Saccharomyces cerevisiae S288C: one gene and its partner. Changing the gene in region 1 together with any one later gene gives a genetic interaction. Each region holds a gene or a part of one and is shown in the gene's direction. Other genes may lie near its edges. The genes, in order: ROY1 and INP52.

Region 1 (4,073 bases):
TGGAGTTGATTCAAAGGATACTTGAAAAGAAAAGGATGCTTCTACTAGAGAACAAGTGCTTTATCACTAAAAAGGCCTACTTAAAATTGACCTGCTGTATATTGGAAACATGCGACATACCTGATTCTATTTTAAAAGATTATATCAGCACTTTGCGGAACACATTTATTGCTGAAAATAACGAATATGTTGTGGATGGTAGCAAACAGCTATATCTTGCACAAATCTTAGACATGCTCTTAAAATATGAGGATAGTATATATCTCGATGATATTTGCTTATTAGGATTGTATTCTCCATTTTATGAGGCTCAGCTCAGTACACTACAGTACATGAATACTAACTTTCACTGGGAAACTACAAGAAACTCAGAATTTCTTGAACAACTACAATTATTACTCAGGGTTCCAGATTTGCTGCCTATGGCTAAAGCTTTAGTAGTGAAAATTCTCTCAAGAAAAAAGAATACTTTATCCCTGACGACCTGCACTGATCTCCTAAAAACAAATAATAGTGAAGATACAAAACTTGCTGCCGTTTCATCACTAAGTGCTAAATTGTCTTCGCAAACCTTTCACCAGGTATGGAACTTGTTACAAGGATTTTTCGCCGATTCTTGTTCAAAAGATTTTAGATTGGCATCTTTAGAATGTTTAACTGCTTATCCAGAAAGTTGTAAGAACTCCAGAATACTATTACAACTGTACAACTTCTTATGGGACGATGATTCTGAAATAAGAGAAAAGGCTTCTTTTTATTTGAATAAGAACTTTATTCAAACTGCAGACTGGGAATATAACAGGAACACCAGTGTGACCGCTCTTATATTCACAAAAAAGTTTGTTGACGTATTCACAAGTTCTGAGGTGGTAGAAGAGTTGTGTTTACAGTTGTTTCAATATCTAAATGAATATGATATGTTTGCTGCCGAAGAATCGGCGAAGAATTGTCTATTTACTATAGAAAAGGATAACCAGTTCATCAACGAACTACAAAAGGCAATGCATATATTAAATATGATAAAATTGACTGGAAGGGATATCTCAAAGTGTTACAAAGACCAGATACATCACCTAAAAAGTGCTCTATTGGAGCACTTCAACACCGAGGATTTTAAAGATTCCCCACTCGGCTGGTGCTCTAATGCTGAAATATTTTCAAGAATAACGCTTTTAAAGGAACTGATTCAACATTATTCTCCTTCTGATTATGAGAATTTTATCAATGTTCTGACTAAACATTCTGTTCATCCCCTAATTATCAGTTATTCCCAATTATAAATAATGAATATGTACAGATATATACTTTGCATATAATCTGATTCATCTCTAACCTACTTGTGGATTTAGTGACGAGATTCATTGTGGAACCTATTACAAAGCATGTCGATTTCTATTCTAAATACAATGATGGAACTTGATTTAATTTCTTTACCGTTGTCATTTTCTTTTGAATTTTTTCCACCTCTTTTTTTGTTGAAAAATGTTCATGGATGGAAAATTAAAGGTGTGCCCTATTACAAAAGCAAGTTGTACCCCTTTACTAACTCTCTAGTCAATTTGAACTATTGTGAAAACGACAGTTGTGCTCACATGATATAACAAAAGTAATACTGACAAATGGCATTCCAAGATCAAGATATATTCATAGTGTTCTCGCATGCCTCCTTATTTCTTAATCAAAATGATTTATTAAGCCTAAGTCTAACATCCAAAAAAATGCATGACATGATTGCAATCCCTCGTCTTTATAGCAATATTCACATAACTAAGAATCCTGTTTTAAGAACAAACAAATGGTTTTTGGACGGGGGAAAAACTTATGTAAGTGGTTATAGATCTGTTCTGAAAACCGGTGACAAGAATGACATATTTTTATATGATAGAATTGAAAGGTTGTTGGAGACATCGCATTTAAAATGTATAAAACAGCTGACTATTGACGAGGATTTGTTTCACAACAGGGAAGAAGGATTGCAACTGTTACAAAGATTGGTCAATGAAATCACTGACTTGGACGTGATTGAAAGTCTTGACATCAAGGATCCTACCTTGTTTGAGTTATGTTCAGCAAAGTATTATCGCCTGTCAAGTTTAAAGAAGAGAGTAGTATATGGCGAAACTGGATTTGATGGTATCAAATTATGGCAAAACTTCAAAAGCTTAAAATGGCAATTACCTGAATCGTTGGATTTGCAAAACGTAATAATCCCTGAAGTGGGTGTAATGTTAATGAAGCAACTTAATGGAGGAGAGTTAGAAATAAAGGACGAAGCGTACTCAAGCCTAAGGGTCTTTGAATACTTTGATTCCCTGAACCTCCGCTTCAAGAATCTGCGCCGTTTGAAGCTTAATCATGTTCACAAACAAGGTGATGGGAGTGCTACTTCTATGAGATTATCTTCACGCGCGTTTAAGGATGTAGTTAATTTATCCAATCTTAAAGCCCTTGAATTAGAATTTTCTTGTGAGGTGGACGACTGTGAATGTGATGATGACTTTCTTCAAGATATAACAGGAAACCTTGTTTCCTTAACAAGTCTGGGGTTCATTGAAAAGACATTCACCAAAAAAGGGTACCATTACATGGACGAGAAATGGGACTTGGTCGTTAATAAGTTTATTTTAAATTTACCAAACGTGAGTAAAGATTTGCGTTTGTTAAGCATACGACATGACCCACCTTTAAATGGCAAGGGCATTGATACTGTTGATGGGAACTTGCTTCGCCGTAAAAAACTTTATGAAAAGGTTTTACCAAAGCTAACTTCGTTGGAAACAATAATAGCTCCAACTGTATTGCAGTCCATCACCTCATATGAAATGTATGCGTGTGACCTTTTGTGGAACGGCTGCAAATGTGCGTTCTGCTCCAAATACTTACCATTATTTGATAAGTACATCATGAATCATCAATACTTTTCGACCCCGGATGCAAGATACTTGGATATTATACCGATAGTGTTTGCAGCATATACTGGAAAATCTCTAGCTAAGAGGTTTGATCCTCAGAAGAACTGGGATTTGGATTTACTACAGTATGCCCCTGAGGATACGACGTGGAATTTCCATGGCTTTGAGAGAATTCATCACTTTGCAAGTTATGAATGTTATTTTGACGAATCCTCATTTGAGCCCTTAGCCACTATTATATCGCATTTTTTTTATCCTTACATGAACTACTTGATAAAGATATTGCCAAACCTTCGCCAAACTATGTTGTCAGGAATATACTTTAGCGTGAGCCCAGAATTACACACTTATGAAACTATTTATGATTAAACTTGATAGTTGTGATAAACATTTCTTATGTACATTTGTTGAAGGAGTTCGTATATATACAGCCAGTTGAGTAATAATTATATTTTACTATTGCATTTCATAATTATTACCCGGACCTTACGAGTTCTTCGAATAATAACCATATATTTCAGAAAGGTAGGCATACCGAAGGAAGAGACAATGAAAAAACTGAAATGAACAAGCTTCTGTATACGATCCAAGGATCAGAAACGGTTGTTATTTATTGTTTGGACTTCTTGTTGTTAGGCTTTATTTACCGTGCATAATACTATCTGATACTTTGAGAAACCCCTCCCCCCACAGAAAGGTTCAAAATTTACAATTGCTGCACTAGGTCTACACTTTCCTCTAGATTTGTAACTTGAAGACCCCATTCCAATCGTTTAACCTGTCTTTCCTTTTATTATCGTTTTATTCTCTTCCTTTTTTATAAAATTCTATCTGGTATAGAGCATTTTTATGTTGATCATAACTTTTCATGTATTCTATTAATTACACCACAACTTTGATATCGTCAAATTTTTTATCACTACCTATTAAATTTAAACAATTGCTTACGAGAACTTAATGTTACAACGGAGATTTATATCCTCCAGTGGTATAAAGAGATTACTTCACAGAGAATCAAACAAGGTTATGCACACTGTTTTCTTTAAAGTACGATATTACTCAACTGAGTTGATCAAAAAAAAGCATAAGGAAGATATTGAGGATTGGGTTAAAGCGCAACTAAAAGATTCTTCAACAATAAGCGGTGTGTATGAGTCTCGG
Region 2 (6,357 bases), on another chromosome or scaffold:
GAAGTTTACTGTAGACTTTTTCCTTACAAAAAGACAAGGAACAATCATGGTTAAAGAGAGTATTATTGCTCTTGCTGAGCATGCGGCCTCCAGAGCCTCAAGAGTTATTCCTCCAGTGAAGCTAGCCTATAAAAATATGCTTAAGGACCCTTCCTCCAAGTACAAGCCATTTAACGCTCCAAAGCTATCTAATAGAAAGTGGCCGGATAACCGGATCACGAGGGCTCCTCGTTGGTTATCAACAGATTTGAGAGATGGTAACCAATCTCTGCCGGATCCCATGTCAGTGGAACAAAAGAAAGAATACTTTCACAAGCTGGTCAATATTGGGTTCAAAGAAATCGAGGTTTCCTTCCCCTCTGCATCTCAAACAGATTTCGACTTCACTAGATATGCTGTAGAAAACGCCCCAGACGATGTTAGTATTCAATGTCTTGTCCAATCTAGAGAACACTTGATTAAGAGAACGGTGGAAGCATTAACAGGTGCTAAAAAGGCTACTATACATACTTACTTGGCAACAAGTGATATGTTCCGTGAAATTGTTTTTAATATGTCTAGAGAGGAAGCTATTTCCAAGGCAGTAGAGGCCACCAAACTAGTTAGGAAACTAACTAAGGATGACCCTTCCCAACAAGCCACTCGTTGGTCCTATGAGTTTTCCCCCGAATGTTTCAGTGATACTCCAGGTGAATTTGCTGTAGAAATTTGCGAAGCTGTTAAGAAGGCTTGGGAACCTACCGAGGAAAATCCAATCATTTTCAACTTACCTGCTACCGTAGAAGTTGCCTCTCCAAATGTTTATGCTGATCAGATTGAATACTTCGCTACCCATATTACTGAGCGTGAGAAGGTTTGCATCTCTACACATTGTCACAATGACCGTGGTTGCGGTGTCGCCGCCACAGAGTTAGGTATGCTTGCAGGTGCCGACCGTGTAGAAGGATGTCTCTTTGGTAATGGTGAACGTACAGGTAATGTGGACTTGGTTACTGTTGCTATGAATATGTATACCCAAGGTGTTTCTCCTAATTTGGATTTCTCTGACTTGACCTCTGTCCTAGATGTGGTTGAGCGTTGTAATAAGATCCCAGTATCGCAAAGAGCACCATACGGCGGTGACTTGGTCGTTTGTGCCTTTTCCGGTTCTCACCAAGACGCCATTAAGAAGGGTTTCAACTTACAAAACAAGAAGCGTGCTCAAGGTGAAACTCAATGGAGAATCCCATACTTGCCATTGGATCCAAAGGACATTGGCCGTGATTACGAAGCTGTCATCAGAGTCAACTCTCAGTCTGGTAAAGGTGGTGCCGCTTGGGTTATTTTGAGATCTTTGGGTTTGGATCTACCAAGAAACATGCAAATCGAATTTTCTAGCGCCGTTCAAGACCATGCTGACTCCTTGGGTAGAGAACTAAAATCAGATGAGATTTCCAAGTTATTCAAAGAGGCTTACAACTACAATGACGAACAGTACCAAGCTATTAGTTTAGTCAATTATAATGTTGAAAAATTCGGCACTGAACGTAGAGTGTTCACTGGTCAAGTCAAAGTAGGCGACCAGATCGTCGATATTGAAGGTACAGGTAATGGTCCAATCTCTTCTTTGGTCGACGCCCTATCAAACTTGTTGAACGTGAGATTTGCCGTAGCAAACTACACAGAGCATTCTCTAGGTTCTGGTTCTTCTACGCAAGCTGCTTCTTACATCCATCTATCGTATAGGCGTAATGCCGACAACGAAAAGGCCTACAAATGGGGTGTAGGTGTCTCCGAAGATGTCGGTGATTCTTCAGTGAGAGCCATCTTTGCCACCATTAACAATATTATCCATTCTGGTGATGTGTCCATTCCATCTTTGGCCGAGGTCGAAGGTAAGAATGCTGCGGCATCTGGCTCTGCATAAGAACTTTTCTGTATTTCAGGACTTATTCGCTTCTATTTATTTCTATACTTATTTATTTACTTCCTTTCCTTTTTTTTTAACCATATAATTACTAGAAGCACGGATGTCTAAATTAGAATTACGTTTTAATATCTTTTTTTCCATATCTAGGGCTAGTGCTTGTTTTTCTTTTTTTAGTATATTCTTGAACCAAATACGTGTGGGGTGACCCGAAACTTGTTTGGCGGTTAGTGACGAAATTGAAACAAACCTGGAGTTATTAAGAGAGATTTAACTGGAAAACTAGGCATAAAGGACAATAAGTACTCGCTTCATATAGTCTCAACATATTTTTGTTCGCAGAATTGGTGACAAAGGCCACGCAAAGGCAGCAGAATCAAAAACAAATACTCAGTAGCTATGAAAATACTCCTATCGAAACAGCAAACTAGAAAGATAGCAATAGTTTCAGAAACACATGGACTGGTATTTAGGCCAATAAACAGTAAGAACTCTCGCAGATCTACATGTGCCGTGGAATTGGTTCCGAAAGCTGAATTAAATGGTAATGGTTTCAGAAGACTATCTAACCATGAAATATACGGTTTTATTGGTCTCATAGAAATTGAAGGCCTTATGTTCATAGCAACCATAACAGGTAAATCTAAGGTGGCCCAGCCGATCCCAAACAAAACGGTTAACAAAATATATGCTGTGGATTTTTTTTGCTTAAATAATTCTAAATGGGATTTCATGGACATCGATTCATCCGGTTATCCGATTGTTACTAATGATGGAGATTTTGCAATAAGCTCGCCTCCTAGTATTTCCACACATTCTTCTAGATCATCGCTACGTTCTTCTTCCTCTAGGAGTTTGAATGCTCAAGAACAAGCTCCCAAGCATCCATGTCATGAACTAAGAAAGCTATTATCAAATGGATCTTTTTATTACAGCACCGATTTTGATTTAACTTGTACATTGCAGAAACGTGGATTCACGGAACACTCTTTGAGTTTTGATGATTTTGACCGGGAGTTTATGTGGAACTCGTTTCTTATGGACGAAATCATCACATACAGAGACAGACTAGATGTAACGGCCAAAGAACTATTGGATCAACGAGGATTCCTCACGACCGTAATCCGAGGGTTTGCTGAAACAATTTTTAGCTATATTAATAGGTTGAAAGTAGGACTTACCATTATTTCCAGGCAAAGTTGGAAAAGAGCAGGCACAAGGTTTAATGCACGTGGTATAGATGATGATGGCCATGTCGCAAATTTTGTTGAAACAGAAATGATTATGTACTCTTCTCAGTATTGTTATGCTTTCACGCAGATAAGAGGAAGCCTTCCAATTTTTTGGGAGCAGGATACATCTTTGATTAGTCCAAAGATTCAAATTACCAGATCTGTTGAAGCAACACAGCCCACGTTTGATGAACATTTTATAAGACTATTTAAGAAGTATGGGCCAGTTCATATAATCAACCTGCTGTCTACTAAATCTTCAGAAATTCAATTATCGAGGCGATACAAGGAACAGTTGAAAAATTCTGAGAAAATGAAAATCGGTAGAGATGTGTTCCTAACAAGCTTTGATTTCCATAGAGAAACTTCGCAAGATGGGTTTGCAGCTGCAAGTAGGATTATCCCTAAAATAAGAAACACAATTTTGGACGCCGGTTACTTTTCATACGATGTAAAAGAAGGGCGATTAATATCCGAACAAGACGGTGTCTTTAGAACCAATTGCTTGGATTGTTTAGATAGAACAAATTTGATCCAACAGACGATTTCACTGGCCGTTTTCAAACTATTTTTGGAAGACTTCCGATTGGTAAAACCCAGTAGTTTCATCGACGATAATGAATTTGTGCAAAAGGTGAATGCTTTATGGGCCGACAACGGAGATCAGATATCACAAATTTACACTGGGACAAATGCTCTGAAATCGTCCTATTCAAGGAAAGGTAAAATGTCTTTTTCTGGCGCCCTTTCTGATGCGACGAAGTCCGTTAGTAGAATGTACATCAACAATTTTGTAGATAAAGGAAAACAGCAAAATATTGACACACTTTTGGGCAAACTACCGCACCAGCAAGTTGTTGAACTTTATGATCCAATCTGCGAATACGTCAATGAAAGGCTGTTAGAGTCAGAGGAAAAATTCACCACTCATTCTAACATAAATTTGTTTGTCGGTACATTCAATGTTAACGGAAACTCTCGAAGAGCAGATTTGTCAAAATGGTTATTTCCAATCGGCGATAAATTCAAACCTGATGTCGTTGTGTTAGGGTTGCAGGAAGTTATAGAGTTGACCGCAGGGTCTATCTTGAATGCAGATTATACGAAAAGTTCTTTTTGGGAAACTATGGTTACTGACTGTTTGAATCAATACGAAGAAAAATATCTTTTACTTAGAGTGGAACAGATGTCCTCTCTTTTGATACTATTTTTTGCAAGATCAGATAGAGCCTATAACATAAAAGAGGTAGGTGGGTCTACCAAAAAGACTGGGTTTGGTGGTATTACTGGAAACAAAGGTGCAGTAGCCATTAGATTCGATTATGGGGCAACTTCATTCTGTTTCGTTAATACACATTTATCAGCAGGTGCGAGTAACATTGACGAACGTCGCAATGACTACAACAATATCTACAGGAACATAACCTTTCCAAGATCAAAGACAATTCCACACCATGATTCGTTGTTTTGGTTGGGTGACCTTAACTACAGGATAACTTTGACAAATGATGAAGTTAGAAGAGAATTAAGGGCTCAAAAGGATGGCTATATTGATAGATTGCTTCAATATGATCAGTTGACTCAAGAAATAAATGAAGGAGTGGTATTTCAGGGCTTTAAAGAACCGACCCTCCAATTCCGTCCGACCTATAAATATGATTATGGCACAGATAATTATGATACTTCTGAAAAGGCGAGAACTCCGTCTTGGACTGATAGAATCATATATAAAGGTGAAAACCTGCATCCATTGGCATATTCGGACGCACCTTTAAAAATAAGCGATCATAAACCAGTTTATGCTGCATATAGGGCAAATGTGAAATTTGTTGACGAAAAAGAGAAGCTTAACCTAGTTGAGAAGCTGTATGCAGAATATAAGAATACGCATCCCGAAGCACTAACTACAGGTCCTGACGAACTTTCTCATGCAAGAATGGAAAAACAAAAGGAAAGTATACCCTTAGATGCAACCGTTCAATCAGCGGGCATAAAACTAATTGACCTAGATGATACTTCCTCGTGCGTTTCGCCTCTACTTTCTGGTCCCAGTCCCCAACCGTCTGTTGTTGGCCCTGGAGGACTCAGTAACGTATCACCCGATAAAAGTAAGCTCAATGTGCTTCCTCCGCCTCCTCCTACCTCGAGGCACAATAAGGAACCATCTTCTAAACTTCTTTCCCCTACCAAAGAGATTTCCATTGTCAGCGTATCGCCGCGTAAAGGTGAGAGCAATCTTCCTGCCTTAGAGAGACACAGTACACCCAAACCACTGCCGCCAGTGCCCGCTTTATCTTTATCTAAGCCAGTCTCTTTACAGAAAAGTTCTTCAGAATTACAGCATGCTAAAGAGACCATAGATAATGGGAAAATTGTTCCTCGACCTTGTCCTCCTATTAGAAGGAAGAGCAGTACTGCCCCGGACGAAATCTCTACATCTACCAAAAATTCAGGTGTGTCCACTACAGAAGATCCTGAGCCAGCAAAGGCCTCCACAAAACCTGAGAAGCCACCAGTTGTCAAAAAACCGCATTATTTAAGTGTTGCTGCTAACAAGCTTAACACCTCTCAAGAACACTCAATAAAAGTTTCCCCGTCGAATTCAAAATCTGAAGAGGAACTCCCTTGCAAGAAAAAGTCTAAACCAAAAGTTCCTGCGAAGAACCCTGAACTAGAGAAGCTAAGCGTTCATCCATTGAAGCCTTGCGACCCCAATTAAATTGTGTTACTAAAATTACGCATTTATAGAATATGTATCATAACTGTTGTTTAGATGTTTATATGACTCTGCACACATTTCGGTTTTGTGAGCGCCGACCTTTCAAACCATGATCTGTATTACTATGGCTGTTATGAAAATACCGTTGTTCCGGGTGCAGTGATCCTAACTTCCGTTAATGGCTTCTTGTTTTACCAAGTTTTCCAGTTTCTGCTTCAATTCGTCAATTTCCTTGTCAACCTTTTCTATGCCGATCTCTATTCTGTCAATTTCTTCCTGTTCTAATTGCTTGGAGTATACACAATCATCAGTTTTGTTTGAAGGTAACAAATTTCCTGGTCGGCTCATTAAAATTTTGAAAAACTCTTCATTTGGCTCATTGAATACAATTTCATCAAAATACACAGAACTAACTTCTGCATCTTTACTATTATGGTCTGTTGTATTCTGCTCATTTCCATTGTCGGAATTCGGTACAGGATTAGCATAAGGATGAAGTC

The links.
Region 2: of ROY1 (region 1) and INP52, extra expression of one rescues a mutant of the other (dosage rescue), as found in Saccharomyces cerevisiae (one study listed by BioGRID).

What each region holds. Positions count from the first base shown.
Region 1 is NC_001145.3:781,828-785,900, reverse strand, and holds ROY1 (Roy1p), read left to right. Parts: upstream 1-1,619; coding exon 1,620-3,281; downstream 3,282-4,073. Other genes in the region: tRNA methylation protein TRM732, read left to right, coding at 1-1,280; PET111 (Pet111p), read left to right, coding at 3,870-4,073. UniProt on the Saccharomyces cerevisiae protein: Non-SCF-type F-box protein involved in the endocytic with the vacuolar sorting pathway. Acts as a repressor of YPT52 by inhibiting the formation of active, GTP-bound, YPT52. Involved in the defense mechanism against methylmercury toxicity.
Region 2 is NC_001146.8:420,444-426,800, reverse strand, and holds INP52 (phosphatidylinositol-3-/phosphoinositide 5-phosphatase INP52), read left to right. Parts: upstream 1-2,305; coding exon 2,306-5,857; downstream 5,858-6,357. Other genes in the region: 2-isopropylmalate synthase LEU4, read left to right, coding at 47-1,906; YEATS domain-containing protein YAF9, read right to left, coding at 6,023-6,357. UniProt on the Saccharomyces cerevisiae protein: Dephosphorylates a number of phosphatidylinositols (PIs) like phosphatidylinositol 4,5-bisphosphate (PtdIns(4,5)P2), but also phosphatidylinositol 3-phosphate (PtdIns(3)P), phosphatidylinositol 4-phosphate (PtdIns(4)P), and phosphatidylinositol 3,5-bisphosphate (PtdIns(3,5)P2).